2 linked regions of the Macaca mulatta genome follow. The protein of the gene in region 1 purifies or fractionates together with the protein of each later gene. This does not show direct contact. Links are inferred from orthologs where the notes say so. Each region holds a gene or a part of one and is shown in the gene's direction. Other genes may lie near its edges. The genes, in order: SIRT6 and G3BP1.

What was found.
Region 2: the proteins of SIRT6 (region 1) and G3BP1 purify together in Homo sapiens (affinity purification with mass spectrometry; 3 studies listed by BioGRID and IntAct, with this or other methods). This does not show direct contact. The link is inferred for Macaca mulatta from reciprocal best matches to the Homo sapiens genes SIRT6 and G3BP1.

The regions. Positions count from the first base shown.
Region 1 is NC_133424.1:5,001,711-5,010,396, reverse strand, and holds the end of SIRT6 (NAD-dependent protein deacylase sirtuin-6), read left to right. Parts: intron 1-1,027; coding exon 1,028-1,155; intron 1,156-2,682; coding exon 2,683-2,865; intron 2,866-5,200; coding exon 5,201-5,260; intron 5,261-6,417; coding exon 6,418-6,513; intron 6,514-6,594; coding exon 6,595-6,675; intron 6,676-7,226; coding exon 7,227-7,350; intron 7,351-7,431; coding exon 7,432-7,761; 3' UTR 7,762-8,269; downstream 8,270-8,686. UniProt on the Homo sapiens protein: NAD-dependent protein deacetylase, deacylase and mono-ADP-ribosyltransferase that plays an essential role in DNA damage repair, telomere maintenance, metabolic homeostasis, inflammation, tumorigenesis and aging.
Region 2 is NC_133411.1:160,728,673-160,737,586, forward strand, and holds part of G3BP1 (ras GTPase-activating protein-binding protein 1), read left to right. Parts: intron 1-3,460; coding exon 3,461-3,542; intron 3,543-4,000; coding exon 4,001-4,174; intron 4,175-7,267; coding exon 7,268-7,358; intron 7,359-8,593; coding exon 8,594-8,690; intron 8,691-8,914. UniProt on the Homo sapiens protein: Protein involved in various processes, such as stress granule formation and innate immunity. Plays an essential role in stress granule formation.

The DNA.
Region 1 (8,686 bases):
AGATGGCCCCATTCCAAAAAGGCTGGCCCATGCATTCTGAATCATGCATTTAATGAGAGCCGATGGTGTGCGCCCGTCCAGAAGCCCCACTCTTCATGCTGCTGTTAGTCACTTTATTTTATTATTATTATTATTATTTATTATTATTATTGAGACAGAGTTTCTGTGTCGCCCAGGCTGGAGTGCAGTGGCACGATCTCGGCTCACTGCAACCTCCCCCTCCCAGGTTCAAGTGCTCCTGCCTTAGCCTCCTCTGTAGGGTAGATGAGATTGCAGGCACCTGCCACCACGCCCAGCTAATTTGTGTGTTTTTAGTAGAGGCGCGGTTTCACCATGTTGGCCAGTCTGGTCTCGAACTCTTGACCTCAAGTGATCCACCCACCTTGGCCTCCCAAAGTGCTGGGATTACAGGCGTGAGCCACCACGCCCGGCCTGTTAGTCACTTTATTCTACCAGCATTTATGGAGTACCTACCGTGTGTCAGGCACTTTCTAGGTACTAGGGCCACAGCCAGGAGCAAGACAGATTAAAAACCCCTCTTTCTAGTAAGAGAGACTGACTAGGGGTTGCATGGAAACCAGGTGGCCAAGGGAGGCGTCACTGTCACAGAAGTGACATCTGAGCCACAAGTTACAGGAGGTGAGGGAGGGAGCCATGTGGGTATCTAGGGGAAGAGCATTAAAGGGTGTGGCCCTGAAGCAGGACTGTGCCTGGTGTGATGGAGGAACAGGGAGGAGACCTGTGTGGCTGGAGCAGAGTGAGGCGGGGAGAGGGAGGAGAAGAGGGCAGGGAGGGGGCAGGGGAGGTAGTACAGGGCCTGGTGGGCCGTGGGGAGGGCTAGGGCTTTGACAAGGCAAGTGGGAGTCATGGAAGGTTGTAGGCAGAGGAGGGGCATGAGGACAAGCTGCCTTTTCCAATCCGTTTTCCTCCCTCAGGCAAGACAGGGACAGCTCAGTCTGTGGCTTGTGTGTGGCCTTGCCACTCGGGGAACTGTTTTGACCCCTCCATCTGCTCTCTCCCCCCACAGATCTTCGACCCCCCGGAGGAGCTGGAGCGGAAGGTGTGGGAGCTGGCAAGGCTGGTCTGGCAGTCTTCCCATGTGGTGTTCCACACGGGTGCCGGCATCAGCACTGCCTCTGGCATTCCCGACTTCAGGTCTGTGAGTGTGCAGGGGAATTCGAGGCAAGGCCCACCAGGCTGCCAGGGGCTTCCTTGCGAGCCATATACATCTGGGAATTAGAACCCATCCATCTGCTGTTCTCCTGGATGTGTCCTGGGTACTGGAAAGGGGCAACACCCCCTCCCCGTAAGATGTGTCCCTTGGCTGGGCGTGGGGGATCACAAGGTCAGGAGTTCCAGACCAGCCTGGCCAATATGATGAATCCCTGTCTCTACTAAGAATACAAAAATTAGCCAGGTGTGGTGGCACACATCTGTAGTCCCAGCTACTTGGGAGGCTGAGGCAGGAGAATCTCTTGAACCTGGGAGGTGGAGGCAGTGAGCCGAGATCGCACCACTGCACTCCAGCCTGGGCGACAGAGTGAGGCTCTGTCTAAAAACAAACAAAACAAAATGAAGATGTGTCCCTGTCACAACCAGCATTCCACTCACCCCATTGGCCAGAACACAGTCGCCTGATCACATATGGCTTCAAGGAATGCTGGGAAATGTAGTCTTTCACACTTGCAAGTGTAGCCAGGCATGGTGGCGGGCACCTGTAATCCCAGCTACTTGGGAGGCCAAGGTGGGAGAATCGCTTGAACCCGGGAGGTGGAGTTCGCAGTTAGCCACGATCGTGCCATTGCACTCCAGCCTGGGCGACAGAGCCAGACTCCATCTCAAAAAAAAAAAAAAAAAAAAAAAAAGAATTCCAAGGCGTGAATTTCTACTCCTCCTCCTCTTCCATAACCTGCTGTGGCTTCCCATTGCCAGGCAGTGTAGAGTTCTGAATACCTTGTGCTGGAAGCTGAAGCCCTTCCTGCTCCAGCCCTGAATCACCTCTCCAACTTCAGCCCCTCCTGCTCCTGCTGCAGCCCCAAAACACCTGCATTTCCCAGCTCTTCCCAGCACCCAGGCCTTTGTTTACGCCTTCTGGCTGATCTTCCCTCTCACCCTTCAAGAAACTGCTCAGCCTCCTCCAGGAAGCCCAGTCAAGCCTGGACCAAAAGAGATACCTGGGCCTGGAGAAGCCCAGGGCCCCCAACACCTCCACTGGGCTTCCCCAAGCCCGGGTACCTCCTCTGGTCCAGGCTTGACTCTTGGGGCCAGAGGGTCTGTGTCCACATGTCTCCCCCAAGATCAAGGGCTTCTGGAGGGCAGGGCTTGGGTCCATGTGGGCATCGTCCGGGCTCATTGCAGCAGCAGTGCTGGTTGAATAGAACAAGTCATTTTTGCCTTGGTGTGAATTCATCTCTCTCTGCCTCTCCCTCTCTCTTTCTCTCTCCTATTCTGTCTCTGACTTGCTTTCTTTGTCTTTCACTCTTTATCTCTCTGTCTGTGTCTTGTTCTATCCCCCTCTCCCTGTTCTTCCGACTCACCCTCTATTTCTCTCTTTCTGATTCCCTCTCTCTGTCTCCCGATTGTCTCTCTCTCCAACTTTCTCTCTATGCCTCTCTGATGCTCCCTCTGTCTCTTTTTCCGTTCCCCTCTGCCTGTCCATCTCTCCCGGCCTGTCACCTTCAGGGGTCCCCACGGAGTCTGGACCATGGAGGAGCGAGGCCTGGCCCCCAAGTTCGACACCACCTTTGAGAGCGCACGGCCCACGCAGACCCACATGGCGCTGGTGCAGCTGGAACGCGTGGGCCTCCTTCGCTTCCTGGTCAGCCAGAACGTGGACGGGCTCCATGTGCGCTCAGGCTTCCCTAGGTAACACCCGGGCCCCGCCCCCCCCAGGAAAGCACTTGGGGCCCCATAAACCGGGTTTGCGTTTTTAGGGGGAAAGTCCCCTTTTCCTGGTTCTGTAAGATTCTAGCCCTGAGCTCTCTGGATCTTTCTTGGCCCAGTGTGTGGAGATTTCTGAGCCCCATGGCTCAGAGCTGTCCCCGCCGGGGCCAGAGGCAGAATTTCCCTTGGGATGGGGCCGAGTGGAGCAGAGCTGTCAGGGTCTAGAAGTTGCAGTTTGTTGTTGTTGTTGTTGTTGTTGTTTTTGAGACCGAGTTTCACTCTTGTTGCCCAGGCTGGAGTGCAATGGCGTAATCTCGGCTCAGCCTCCCGGGTTCAAGCAATTCTCCTGCCTCAGCTTCCTGAGTAGCTGGGATTACAGGCAGGTGCCACTGCATCCAGCTAATTTTGTATTTTTAGTAGAGACGGGGTTTCTGCATGTTGGTCAGGCTGGTCTTGAACTCCTGACATCAGGTGATCCGCCTGCCACGGCCTCCCAAAGTGTTGGGATTACAGGCGTGAGCCACCGCGCCCGGCCTGTTGTGTTTTTAATTTCCATCTTTATTAATCTGACACTAAACGTGTCTAACACTGAAGTGAACCTGTGCTCTGGGGCTGACTGATTTCCTAATAGAGGTGTGGCCCTCCCCTGCCCCTCTTTGCCGGGTCTCACCCCTGAAGCAGCCGGTGACAGCCAGGTCAGTTGTTGAACAAGGAGCTGGGCACCCAGGGGTAAGGGGTGAGGAAGAGCTTTTTCTCTGCTTATGAAAGCAAAGGAGAGGCCGGGCACGGTGTCTCACATCTGTAATCCCAGCGCTTTGGGTGGCCAAGGAGGGTGGATCACAAGGTCAAGAGTTCGAGACTAGCCTGGCCAACATCGTGAAACCCCATCTCTACTAAGAATGCAAAAATTAGCTGGGCGTGGTGGCACACACCTGTAATCTCAGCTACTCGGGAGGCTGAGTCAGGAGAATCACTTGAACCCGGGAGGCAGAGGTTGCAGTGAGCCGAGATGGTGCCACTGCACTCCATCTTGGGCGACAGAGCAACACTCTGTCTCAAAAAAAAAAAAAAAAAAAAGCAAAGGAGGGCTGGGTATGGTGACTTGTGCCTGTAATCCCAGTACTTTGGGAGGCCGAGGCGGGTGGATCACAAGGTCAGGAGATCAAGACCATCCTGGCCACATGGTGAAACCCCGTCTGTACTAAAAATAGAAAAATTAGGCCAGGCACGGTGGCTCACGCCTGTAATCCCAGCACTTTGGGAGGCCAAGGCGGGCAGATCACGAGGTCAGGAGATCAAGACCATCCTGGCTAAAATGGTGAAACCCCCTTTCTACTAAAAATACAAAAAATTAGCCAGCCCATCTCAAAAAAAAGAAAAATTAGCCAGGCATGGTGGCGGGTGCCGGTAGTCCCAGCTACTCAGGAGGCTGAGGCAGGAGAACCGCTTGAACCCAGGAGGTGGAGGTTGCAGTGAGCTGGCGGCTTGAACCTGGGAGGCAGAACTTGCAGTGAGCTGATATCGCGCCACTGCACTCCAGCCTGGGCGACAGAGCGAGACTCCATCTCAAAAAAATAAAATAGGCCGGGCGCGGTGGCTCAAGCCTGTAATCCCAGCACTTTGGGAGGCCGAGACGGGCGGATCACGAGGTCAGGAGATCGAGACCATCCTGGCTAACACGGTGAAACCCCGTCTCTACTAAAAAAATACAAAAAACTAGCCGGGCGAGGTGGCGGGCGCCTGTAGTCCCAGCCACTCGGGAGGCTGAGGCAGGAGAATGGCGTGAACCCAGGAGGCGGAGCTTGCGGTGAGCTGAGATCCGGCCACTGCACTCCAGCCTGGGCGACAGAGCGAGACTCCGTCTCAAAAAAAAAAATAAATAAATAAAATAAAATAAATAAATAAAATAAAGCTGGGATTGGATCTCATGCTTCAGGGCCACTCATTGCCTCGGTTTCTTCCATTATAAACTGGGAATTTGAATTCCTGTGCTTCTGACCTGGTGACATCAAGAGGTTCCCATATGCTGTCGAAGGGGACGGGCATTTTCTGAGTGGAAAGGGCTTCCCGTTATCTAAGGTGGGTTCAACCGCAGGGGTTAATGATTCCTTGGGCTCAGAGAGGTTGGGCCACTTGCCCAGAGACACATAGCAGATGAGTGGTGGAGCCAGGAGCTAGAAGAGCCAGAAAGGAGTTGATCAATGTTGTGGGAGAGGAGTCCGGGAAGCCTTCCTGGAGTAGAGGGGCTTAGCACCAGCCCCAAAGCCTGGGCATCCAGGGAGCCCTTCCCACCATCGAGCCTCTTCTTCTCCCACAGGGACAAATTGGCAGAGCTTCATGGGAACATGTTCGTGGAAGAATGTGCCAAGTGTAAGACGTGAGTGCCACCTGGGTGCAGGGGCAGAGGCTCTGCCAGGCTTCCCCCAGGCGGGTGCACAGTGTGAGCCATGCAGCCACCATCCCTCCCTCAGGGCAGGCTCTGCCAGAGGGGTTGGGGGCCGAATCTGTTGTCCCAGAGACCCAGAGGATGTGGGGGGACTGGGGTGTGGCCCTCCTGGGGGGATCTGAGGGTCATGCCTTCCTCCTGGGGGGATCTGAGGGGCATATCTGCCTCCTAGAGGGATTTTGGGGCATGCCTCCCTCCTGGGGGGGTACATCCATGTCCTGGCACTGCCATAGCAACCTACCGCAGATAAGCATTTTAGAGCAATAGAAATTTGTGACAGTTCTGGGGGCCAGAAGTCCAAAATCCAGGTGTCTGCAGGGCCGTGCTCCTCTGCAACCTGTAGTGGAGGATTTTTCCTGCCTTTTCGTGGCTGCTGGTGGCAGCCAGCCACCCTTGGTGGTCCTGGGCCTATAGCTACAGGGGCCTTCTTATCTCTGTGTTTCTCCTTTTTTTTGAGACAGTCTTGCTCTGTCACCCAGGCTGGAGTGCACTAGGCGCAATCTCAGCTCACTGCAACCTCTACCTCCCAGGTTCAAGCAATTCTTCTGCCTCAGCCTCCCGAGTAACTGGGACTACAGGCGCCCGCCACCACACCTAATTTTTGTATTTTTAGTAGAGATGGGATTTCACCATATTGGCCAGGCTGGTGGTGTACTCCTGACCTCATGATCTGCCTGCCTCAGCCTCCCAAAGTGCTAGGATGAAAGGCATGAGCCACCGCACCCGTTCCAGTATGACGATTAAAGTCAGGAAAAGTAAAGTGGACATCGCCTTCTCTAATCCTGAATCCAGACTCGGCCTGTTGTCCCCATGCTCCAGTGGTTCCTGTTTCTCCTGGTCCGGGATCCCATGCGGGGTCCTGTCTCTCGAGCTTTGTCTGAGACAGTTTCCTGCTTTGTTTTCTGTGTGTGGGCACCGAACAGCATCCTGACCTGTTATTCCTGGAAGGCTCCTCGTTCGTGTCTCTGGGTGCTAGTTCTGGTGACCTGTCCACCCACCTTCCTGGGAGAACGTCACCCTAGAAACAGTGCGAGAGTCACCCACGGGGGCTGACCCAGCCCCATCCTCCCCCTTCCTCCCCGACACAGGCAGTATGTCCGGGACACAGTCGTGGGCACCATGGGCCTGAAGGCCACGGGCCGGCTTTGCACCGTGGCTAAGGCAAGGGGGCTGCGGGCCTGCAGGTGAGCCACCCCCACCCATGCCCTGGGCTCCAGGGGAGGCTGCTAGGCCCCTGTGGACTCTCCTCAGCTTCCTCATTGCAGGGGGGAGCTGAGGGACACCATCCTAGACTGGGAGGACTCCCTGCCCGACCGGGACCTGGCACTCGCCGATGAGGCCAGCAGGTCTGACCCCCCCCAGGGAGCCTATGGTGGGGCGGGCCGGGGCGACAGCACAAACACAGCCAGCTCCAGCACGGGGCAGTGGCTCTGGCTCAGAGGCAGTCAGGGGAGGCTTCCTGGAGGAGGTGGGCCAGGCCAGGGGCTGCACACACACACACACACACACACACACACACACACACACACTCCTCGCCTCATGGCTCTGGGTGGGTGCTGCACAAGGAAACCAAGGCTTTGGCCAGGTGTCTCCTCTATCCAGTGCTGCCCAGCGGGAGGTGGCTGAGCCAGGGTCCCACCCTAGGCATCCAAGCTCTTACCACACTGTGATGCTCCTTAGGAGTGTCTAAGGGCTGGCCCAGATCCATGACCCTGCCAGCGGACAGCAGAGGAGGGCGGCGTAGGATCCCGAAGGCTGACTCGGGAGCGGGGCTGGCCTTGACCGCCCCAGTGAGCAGATGACCTAGGTGTGAGCCAGACCCCAGGGCTGGCTCGAGATGTTGGCAGGAGCAGGGCTGGGGAAGGGATCAGGCTAAGCCCACACTCCCTGGCCCCAGGAACGCCGACCTGTCCATCACGCTGGGAACATCACTGCAGATCCGACCCAGTGGGAACCTGCCGCTGGCTACCAAGCGCCGGGGGGGCCGCCTGGTCATCGTCAACCTGCAGCCCACCAAGCACGTAAGTGTCTGAGCCCACCCCTGCCCAGGGCCACCATGCACCCTCTGCCCCACATGCCTGACCCATCCCGTCCCCCGGCAGGACCGCCATGCTGACCTCCGCATCCACGGCTACGTCGACGAGGTCATGACCCGGCTCATGAAGCACCTGGGGCTGGAGATCCCCGCCTGGGACGGCCCCCACGTGCTGGAGAGGGCGCTGCCACCCCTGCCCCGCCCGCCTACCCCCAAGCTGGAGCCCAAGGAGGAATCACCCACCCGGATCAACGGCTCTATCCCTGCCGGCCCCAAGCAGGAGCCCTGCGCCCAGCACAACGGCTCAGAGCCCGCCAGCCCCAAACGGGAGCGGCCCACCAGCCCTGCCCCCAACAGACCCCCCAAAAGGGTAAAGGCCGAGGCGGTCCCCAGCTGACCAGGGTGCTTGGGGAGGGTGGGGCTTTTTGTAGCAACTGTGGATTCTTTTCCTCTCGTGGTCTCACTTTGTTACTTGTTTCTGTCCCCGGGAGCCTCAGGGCTCTGAGAGCTGTGCTGCAGGCCAGGGGTTGCACCGGACCTCCATGGTCTCTCCCTGGGCTCTAGGGGCCTTTGGTGGGGTTTGGAGAAGAAGCCACACCCCAGAGCTAACAGCTGAGCCCCTGCCACACCCCATCCTCTGACATGGAGTGTTGTCCAGAGGTGCAGCTGGGCCCTCCCTGGTCTCCAGCTTAAACAGGAGTGAACTCCCTCTGCCCCCAGGGCCTCCCCACTGGGCCCCCCACACCCCACCCTACCCCTCCTCCATGGACCCTGCAGGAGGGGAGACCCACCTCGAAGTGGGGGACACAGTAGAGGCTTTGCACTGCCTTTGGGGCTGGAGGGAGACGTGGGTCCACCAGGCTTCTGGAAAAGTCCTCAATGCAATAAAAAATTTCCTTCTTGCATCTCAGTGTGTTTATGTTATTTTATTTTATTGAGCCAGAGTCTCACTCTGTCACCAAGGCTGGAATGCAGTGGCTTGATCTCAGTTCACTGCAGCCTCTGCCTCCCTGGGTTCAAGCGATTCTCCTGCCTCAGCCTCCCAAGTAGCTGGGATTATAGGTTTGTGCCACTACACCCAGCTATTTGTTTGCATTTTTTTTTGTAGAGATGGGGGTCTCACTCTGTGGCCCAGGCTGGTCTTAAATTCCTGGGCTCAAGCAGTCAGGCCAGCTCGGCCTCCCAAAGTGCTGGACTTAACTGGCTTGAGCCGCCATGCCCAGTGAGTGTTTAAATTACCAATTTGTGGAAGGTCCTCACCCCCGGGTCAGGAGTTTGTGGTCCCCTCCTCCCTGAACCACCTGCCTGGGCTCCGTTGCAAT
Region 2 (8,914 bases), on another chromosome or scaffold:
TTGAAATGTAAAGGTATAGTTATGCATTATTGGCTAAGAAAGTATAAAGATTGCTGGAGCTGAGGTGGATGTAAAAAATAAGAATGTATTGAAGACAATCCGTGACTGTTTCTGTAATACCATACTTTTGTGTTGATGTGCTTTAAAAAATTACAGTGTCTTTAGTAGAAAATGATGCATGCTTATTGAAAATTAAAACAAATTATGAAAGCAGTAAAACCACAGGAACAGTTTTTCTGTATATATAGAAACATGTGGCCGGGCGCGGTGGCTCAAGCCTGTAATCCCAGCACTTTGGGAGGCCGAGACGGGCGGATCACGAGGTCAGGAGATCGAGACCATCCTGACTAACACGGTGAAACCCCGTCTCTACTAAAAAAAATACAAAAAACTAGCCGGGCGAGGTGGCGGGCGCCTGTAGTCCCAGCTACTCGGGAGGCTGAGGCAGGAGAATGGCGTGAACCCAGGAGGCGGAGCTTGCAGTGAGCTGAGATCCGGCCACTGCACTCCAGCCTGGGCGACAGAGCGAGACTCCGTCTCAAAAAAAAAAAAACAAAAAAAAACAAACAAACAAACAAAAAAGAAACATGTTTTAATATACTGTCTTAACTTTCTTACTTGATAATCTGGAATCATGTTTTCAGGGTAATATTTGTATCCCATTAATTTTAGTGGCTACAAAGTTTTTTATGGAGATATGGTGTACTTTAATCTCCTAGTGATGGATCTATAGATTGCTTCTATTATTTTCTCTTACAATGTCACTTTATACAAAACTGTCTATTTATGTGGCTTTGTTAGAATAATTTCATAGTTTCAAAATGTGTATTCGCTGGACCAGAACTATTTTTTCCCTTATACCTTGACCAGCTTACATATTGGATACCACATGATTATCAGGTATAAAATAAAATTTACGAATGTTTTCAATGCTGGTTTTGACATTGCTCTGACAATGGAATGTATCTCGTGTGTGTGTGTGAGGTGTGTGAGAGTGTGTGTGTGTCGTGTGTGTGAGAGAGAGAGAGGGAGGGAGAGAGAGAGAGGGAGTGAGAGTGAGTCAGTCTCATCTCTCTCCTGGGCTGGAGTGCAGGTGGCAAGGTCACAGCTCACTGCAGCCTTGAACTCTTGGGCTCAGACTGTCCTCCCACCTCAGCCTCCTGAGTAGCTGGGACTGAGGTACAATCCACCACACTCAGCTAATTTTTTTTGTAGAGACGGTTTTACCATTTTGCCCAAGCTGATCTCGAACTCCTGGACTCAAGCAATTCGCTTGCTTCAGCCTTCCAAAATCCTGGGATTACAGGTGTGAACCACCACCCTTGGGTTTTTTGTTAAGGGTTTAAAATTTCCAGAACATTTTTTCTCATTTCCTCCTGATCATTACAAAAATCTTTAGTGAAGGGTAAGGCATTGTAAGAGAGTTAACTTCATTTTGCAGATACACTCAGAGTGTTTAAAAATTTGCTAGTACATATGCACATGACTGTTAAGTGGTAGAACAAGTCTCTAAGCAGTTTTTACCCTTCCTTCCTTTTCTTTTTTCTTTTTTCTTTTTTTTTTGAGACAGTCTTACTCTGTTGCCCAGGCTGAAGTGCAATGGTGCGATCATAGCTTGACCTCCTGGGCTCAAGTGATCCTCTTGCCTCAGTTTCCTACATAGCTAGGACTACAGGCATGCACTACCATGCCCAGCTAAGTTTGTGTGTGTGTGTGTGTGTGTGTGTGTGTGTATATATTTTTTTTTTTTTTGGTGGAGTCTCGCTCTGTCACCCAGCCTGGAATGCCATGGTGAGATCTCAGCTCACTGTAGCCTCTGCCTCCCGGGTTCCAGTGATCCTCCTGCCTCAGCCTCCTGAGTAGTTGGGACTACGGGTGCACACCACCACCATGCCTGGCTCTTTTTTTTTTTTTTTTTTTCCCGAGATGGAGTTTCGTTCTTGTTGCCCAGGTTGGAGTGCAATGGCGCTATCTTGGCTCACCGCAACCTGTGTCTCCCATGTTTAAGTGGTACTCCTGCCTTAGCCTCCCGAGTAGCTGGGATTACAGGCATGCGCCACCACGCCTGGCTAATTTTGTATTTTTGGTGGAGACAGGGTTTCCCTATGTTGGTCAGGCTGGTCTCGAACTTCTGACTTCAGGTGATCCGCCCACCTTGGCCTCCCAAAGTGTTGGGATTACAGGCGTGAGCCATCGCGTCCAGCCTTTTTTTGTGTTTTTATATTTGGTTAATTTATTTCAACCCCATAGAATAAAACTGACATAAAACATGACAACAAGAAAGAAGTATAGGCCAGGCATGGTGGCTCATGCCTGTAATCCCAGCACTTTGAGAAGCTGAGGTGTGCTGAGAGGCTGAGGTGGACTGAGAGGCTGAGGTGGGTGGATCACTTGAGGTCAGGAGTTCAAGACCAGCCTGGCCAATATGGCGAAACCCTCTCTCTGTACTAAAAATACAAAAAAAGGCGGAGGTTGCAGTGAGCTGAGACTGCGCCACGGCACTCCAGAATGAGCAACAGCATGAGACTCTGTCTCAAAAAAAAAAAAAAAAAAAAAAAAGGTGTTTACCTGGAAGATGGAAGACAAATGTCAAATCTTAATAGTGGTTGTCCCTGGGTTAGAGCATTTTGGTGTGTTGCTTTCTTGATGGAATATTGTTTTAATGAAAATGGATCAAAGAAGGACATAGATGGGTGAAAACTATGAGGAATTGACTTTGACATTCTTAATTGCATCAGCAAAAATGATTAAAAAGTGCTTTTAAAACCACTTGCATGAACTAGGTGTTTAAGGGAAACTGCTCACATTTATTCTCAGATACATTAATTAAAGGACACTTGAAGTCTATGGAGAATATAGCTGTTCCAGCCTTACTGCATATTTTCTTCCTGAGTGAAAATAGGAACTTATGTATTGGTGGCCATCTTGACATGCAACTACAAGATCCTTCCCAACAGTATCATCCTACGCCGAAACCTGGAACCAAATCCATTCCCATTCAGCAGATGTTGATCAAGTGGCATGTAGGGGATAGAGAGATGATTGCATACAAAGATGAAAAAGAAAACACATTTCTGCCAGGGCCAGGCGCGGTGACTGACGCCTATAATTCCAGCACTTTGGGAAGCCAAGGCAGGTAGGATTGTTTGAGTTTGTGAGTTCGAGACCAGCCTGGGCAACGTAGTGAGACCTTATTTTTACTTAAATAAAAATAATCAGCCAGGCATGGTGGCATGTGCCTGTAGTTCCAGCTACTTTGGGAAGCTGAGGCTAGAGGATCACTTGGCCGTGGCACATAGAAGCTGCAGTGAGGTATGATCGCATCACTGCAATCCAGCCTGGGTGACAGATTGAGACCCCATCTCCAAAAAAAGAAATTTGCCAGTATCAAACATGAAAAAAAAAAAAAAAAACTTAAGATACTTGAAGATGACAAGTAAATCATCTTCCCATTTTACAGATTTTATGGAAAGAACTCTTCTTATGTCCATGGGGGATTGGATTCAAATGGAAAGCCAGCAGATGCAGTCTACGGACAGAAAGTAAGCATTTCAAGCCTTATTTAGGCTGTTAAGCAGGTAGAAAATAACTCATAAAATTGAAGTGGATCATACTTAATAGGTTTTGGTGATGAGGATCAAATTTCTCAACTTTTTAGTAAAAGTTGATGTGTTTTATTACTATTTGATTAATATATTTGTTGAAATATTTATGTGATGTCAGATTTGTTAATTTTGCATGATACAAAGCTTGTGTGTGTTGGAAGATAATTGGCTTTAGCATGGGGGTCATCTTTGTGTTAATTCAGAACAGTTATTTAAAAAACTCAAGTGTGGTCACTGGGAATAGGGTATACAAAGAAACATCAAAATCCAGTCTGCGTTTCCTATAATTTAAATATGTACATTCTCTTTACCTGTGTTTTGTTGAAAGTTTTTTTTTAGTTGGAGGTTATTTAAATTTTAAGGCATTCACAGTTGATTTTTTTTTTTTTTTTAAGGAAATCCACAGGAAAGTGATGTCACAAAATTTCACCAACTGCCACACCAAGATTCGCCATGTTGATGCTCATGCCACGCTAAATGATGGTGTGGTAGTCCAGGTGATGGGGCTTCTCTCTAACAACAACCAGGCTTTGAGGAGATTCATGCAAACGTTTGTCCTTGCTCCTGAGGTATGTATAGGGATGATTATTTTGTAATGATCGAAACATGGAAAAAAAAAACAATGAACGGTTGTGCATATCTTTAATAACACTTGAAATTTCAGACTTACAGAAAACTTGGAATAATGGTACAATAACTCCTATACACCTTACCTAGAGCAGCTGTCACCACTTGCCCACATGTGTGTAATTCTTTCTCTAAAATACTCCAGTGGGCATTTCCTAAGAATAAAGAATTCTCTTCCATTCTATAGTACAGTTATCAAATTCAGGAAATGTTGATGCAGTATAATTATTCTATAATCCATATTTAAAATTTGGAAATTATCCCAATAATGTCTTAGAGTTATTTTTTTTCCTTGTCCAACATGGAATCTATAATTGCACATTGCATTTAGCTATCATGTCTCTAGTCTTTTCTAATCTGCAGTTGTTCCTTAATCTTTTGGTTTTTTTTTTATTGCATTGACATTTTTGAAGAGCATAATCACTTTTTTTTGTAGGATGCTTTATGTGTGTCATTCATTGCCTCACGTTAGAGAGGCACATTATGTCATTAAGTTGTGATATGAATTTTGATTAGTTAAGTTTTGCCACTGTAAAGTTAAATATGTTTTCTCTCTCTCTCTCTCTTTTTTTTGGAGACGGAGTCTCACTCTGTCGTCCAGGCTGGAGTTCAGTGGCTCCATCTCTGCTCACTGCAACCTCCGCCTCCTGGGTTCAGGCTGTTCTCCTGCCTCAGCCTCCCGAATAGCTGGGACTAGGAGCGTGCCACCACACTTGACTGATTTTGGTATTTTTAGTAGAAGATGACAAACCATGTTTGTCAGGCTGGTCTCTAACTCCTGACCTCAAGTGATCCACCTGCCTCCGCTTCCCAAAGTACAGGGATTACAGGTGTGAGCCACTGTGCACAGCCTTATTTTTTCTCTTTTGATTTGTAAATAAAGGATGGGAGATTCTCTTTTTATCTTTTTTGAACACTTACGGCATAAGATGTTTCAGGTTCATCTTGCACTGTTCCTGGCCCAGCCCCTATTCTTGAATCACCTGTTCCTTCAAGGAGGCCTGGTTCTTTTTAGTTATACTTACGAAAGGATGACAAGTTTATGTTGAATGATTGCATTTGTGTTTTCTTCCGGATTGGTCTAGACTGAACAAGGTTAGGAATCCAGTCTGCTTAAGCATGTATATAGAAATGGCACAGTATGAACTTGTTGATTAAATCATTGTTTCTTCTAGCATTAATCTTAAATTTTCTTTTTAGGATAGCAAACCTAAAAACACCTAAAATCTTTTAACCTTTGAATATGAGATAACTTTTTGTCTGTGCAAAATTACACGAAGCCATTACTGTCATAATTTTTAGAGGAAGGCTTAGATTAAAATGTAAAGATGTGGTAGACTTCTAAATATGCAAAGAATCACATGGAGTATGATTGTCAATTATAGGTTTAATTATAGTTTTTTTTTTCTTTTAAAGGAAGTATCTAACTTCTCGTTAGTATAATACACTGTTATGTAAACTGTCTCATTTAGTACACAGAGTATTGAAGCATACGTTTATATCTTTCCTTTCTGTTTTTTGAGATAAGAGTCTCCCTGTGTTAGCCAGGCTGGAGTGCAGTGGTAGGATCATGACATACTGCAACCTTGACTGCCTGGGCTGAAATGATAATCCCACCTGAGCTTCCCAAGTAGCAGGGACCGCAAGCACAGGCTACCATTCCTGGCTAATTTTTGTTTTTGTTTTTGTAGAGACACACTCTACAAAAAGTATGTTGCCCAGGCTAGTCTCAAACTCCTGGGCTTAAGCAGTTCTACCTCAGCCGTCCAAAGTGTTGGGATTTCAGGAGTTGAGCGAGCCACTGTGCCTAGCTGATACCTCTCTTTTCACAGAGGAGTAACAGCCTTAGGAACTGAATAACTCATAAATTATATAATTGGATCTGCACTCAGGTGTGTCTTATACCTAGTGCGAGCAATCTTTTTCAGGCTACATTACTCTCGAGTGTTTATATCAATATTTTTGGATACAGACTTGGGGGAATACCTGCTGAAGTTAGGACTATGATTGCCTTTTTTTTTTTGAGACAAGGTCTCGCTCTGTTGCCCAGGCTGGAGCGCAGAGGTGCAGTCTGGGTTCACTGCACCCTCCACCTCCCAGGTTCAAGTGATCCTCCCACCTCAGCCTCCCTAGCAGCTGGGACTACAGGCGTGGCCCTTTATGCCTATCTCATTTTTGTATTTTTAGTAGAGATGGGATTTCACCATATTGGCCAGGGTGGTCTTGAACTCCTGACCTTAGGTGATCTGCCCGCCTTGGCCTCCCAAAGTGCTGGGATTACAGGCATGAGCCACTGCGCCCATCCAGAATATGATTGCCTTATAATGATTTGAGGTGTGAACTGTGGCATCTTACATACTTAGAACTTTGTCAGTTTCTGCGTATTTATCTTATGGTGAGGTAAAGTGTTTTGAGCAAATATGTGAGTGTAGTCTTGTTACCAGCTATTGTCGAGTGGGCATTTTCAGTCTTGGCACTGTTGACATTTTGGATCAACTAATTCTTTGTTGTGGGAGCCTGTCCTGTGCATTGCAGGAATTTAGCAGCATCCCTAACCTTATAAGTTGTCAGTAGCATTCCCTGTAGTGAATACTGAAATGTCGGCAGGGCATGCTGGCTCATACCCATAATTCAGAACTTTGGGAGACTGAGGCAGGAGGACCACTTGAGCCCAGGAATTAAAGACCAATCAGGGCAGTTTAACAAGATCCTGTCTCAAAAAAGAAAAGAAAAAAGAGAAATTAACCTTTCAAGGTGGCGCGCCACTGTAGTCCTAGCTACTTAGGAGGCTGAGGCAGGAAGATCCCTTGAGCCTGGGATTTCAAGGCTGCAGTGAGCTGTGATGGCCCACTGCACCCCCACCTGGGTGACAGCAAGACCCTGTCTGAAAACCCCACAACAACAAAAACTGAAATGTCTCCAGACATTGCCAGATGTCTCATGGAAGCAGACTTGTCTCAGTCACCAATGGTGTGGAGTGATTTGACTTTCTAAAAGTCTGTTGAATAAATTAAAACTTTCTGTTGGCATTGCAGGGGTCTGTTGCAAATAAATTCTATGTTCACAATGATATCTTCAGATACCAAGATGAGGTCTTTGGTGGGTTTGTCACTGAGCCTCAGGAGGGTAAGTAGTGAAATATTTTAAATTACTTGTCTACATTTTTTTTAATGGCATCAGATTGCCCTTAAGAGACCATGCGTTTCTTTACTGTTTTCATTACACTCTGTTCTTCATTAATAACTAATTATCATGGCATATGAAGAATCTGAGGTTTTACCCTACTTGAAGCTGCTAACAGGTTAGCTTATATCGTGGATGTTAGTAGAAGATAAAAGACTCTTAGGTCAGAAGGAGACAGGTTACCTCACAGCAACGGTAGTAGCATTTTTGCCACATTTACCAACAGGATGTCATGAAGAAGGCTAGATGATACTTCTACTGCAGTGGGTTGTGTTAAAGGCATGGGACACTGAGTTTAGGGAACACAGATCTATTACAACAGGCAGTAAACATGCCTACTCTTTGTGCTGGGGGGAGATACGCTTTCAAAGCTGTTTGCTCTATAAATGTTCTTGAAAGACAGTCTAGAAGAAAGGGTAGGCATGGAAGATGTGTAGACACAGAGACTCATGGAAAATTTTCTCCAAAATAATAGAATTTGCATGTTGTTTATTTGGCTGAGAGTATATTTAATTTGTAATATAGTTTTACAGATAAGCAGTCATTTGCCTAGCTAGTAAAGTGGTAGAGCCTGCATTAGATAACTGCCTAATGTAATTTGGCTAATGTAGCCAGTTATGTGAAAGCCTGCATTAGGCTCCATGCTCTTAAAAACCAAGACACTACAGTAGCCTTAAAGTCTATCCTTAAGGCCGAGCGTGGTGGCTTACGCCTGTAATCCCAGCACTTTGGGAGGCCAAGGCAGGCGGATCACGAGGTCAGGAGATCGAGACCATCCTCGCTAACATGGTGAAACCCTGTCTCTACTAAAAATAGAAAAAATTAGCCAGGCGTGGTGGCGGACGCCTAGCTACTTGGGAGACTGAGGCAGGAGAATGGTGTGAACCCGGGAGGTGGAACTTCCAGTGAGCCGAGATTGCGCCACTGCACTCTAGCCTGGGCGACAGAGCGAGACTCCGTCTCAAAAAAAAAAAAAAAACAAAAAAAACAAACCAAAAAAAGGTCTATCCTTAAAAGCCTTAGTTCTGTCCTTAAAGTCAATGCCATGATTTTTACCAAATTGCCCTACTTTATTTATATGTGTTTTTCTTCACTGTTGTTTTGTGAACATTGTGAAAGTGAATGTATATGTGAATTCAGTAAGTACAAATTACTTTAAATATCTTTTTCTCACTTAGAATCTGAAGAAGAAGTAGAGGAACCTGAAGAAAGACAGCAAACACCTGAGGTGGTACCTGATGATTCTGGAACTTTCTATGATCAGGCAGTTGTCAGGTAAGAAAATTTTGTTCACATGTCTGCGGCTGCATAAGAACTTGCATTGTCTAGTCTTTCCCTTTGTTGGAGGGCATTTACATATTCTGAGAATTACCTCAAAATAATAATTTCTTAGAAGAATGGTTTTGTTTCTGGTAATTTTGAGTAAACAAAAATATGTAGCTTATTGTTAATAATAAATTGTACTGTGAAGGCAATCTACTATTGCTTAGTTTAAATAA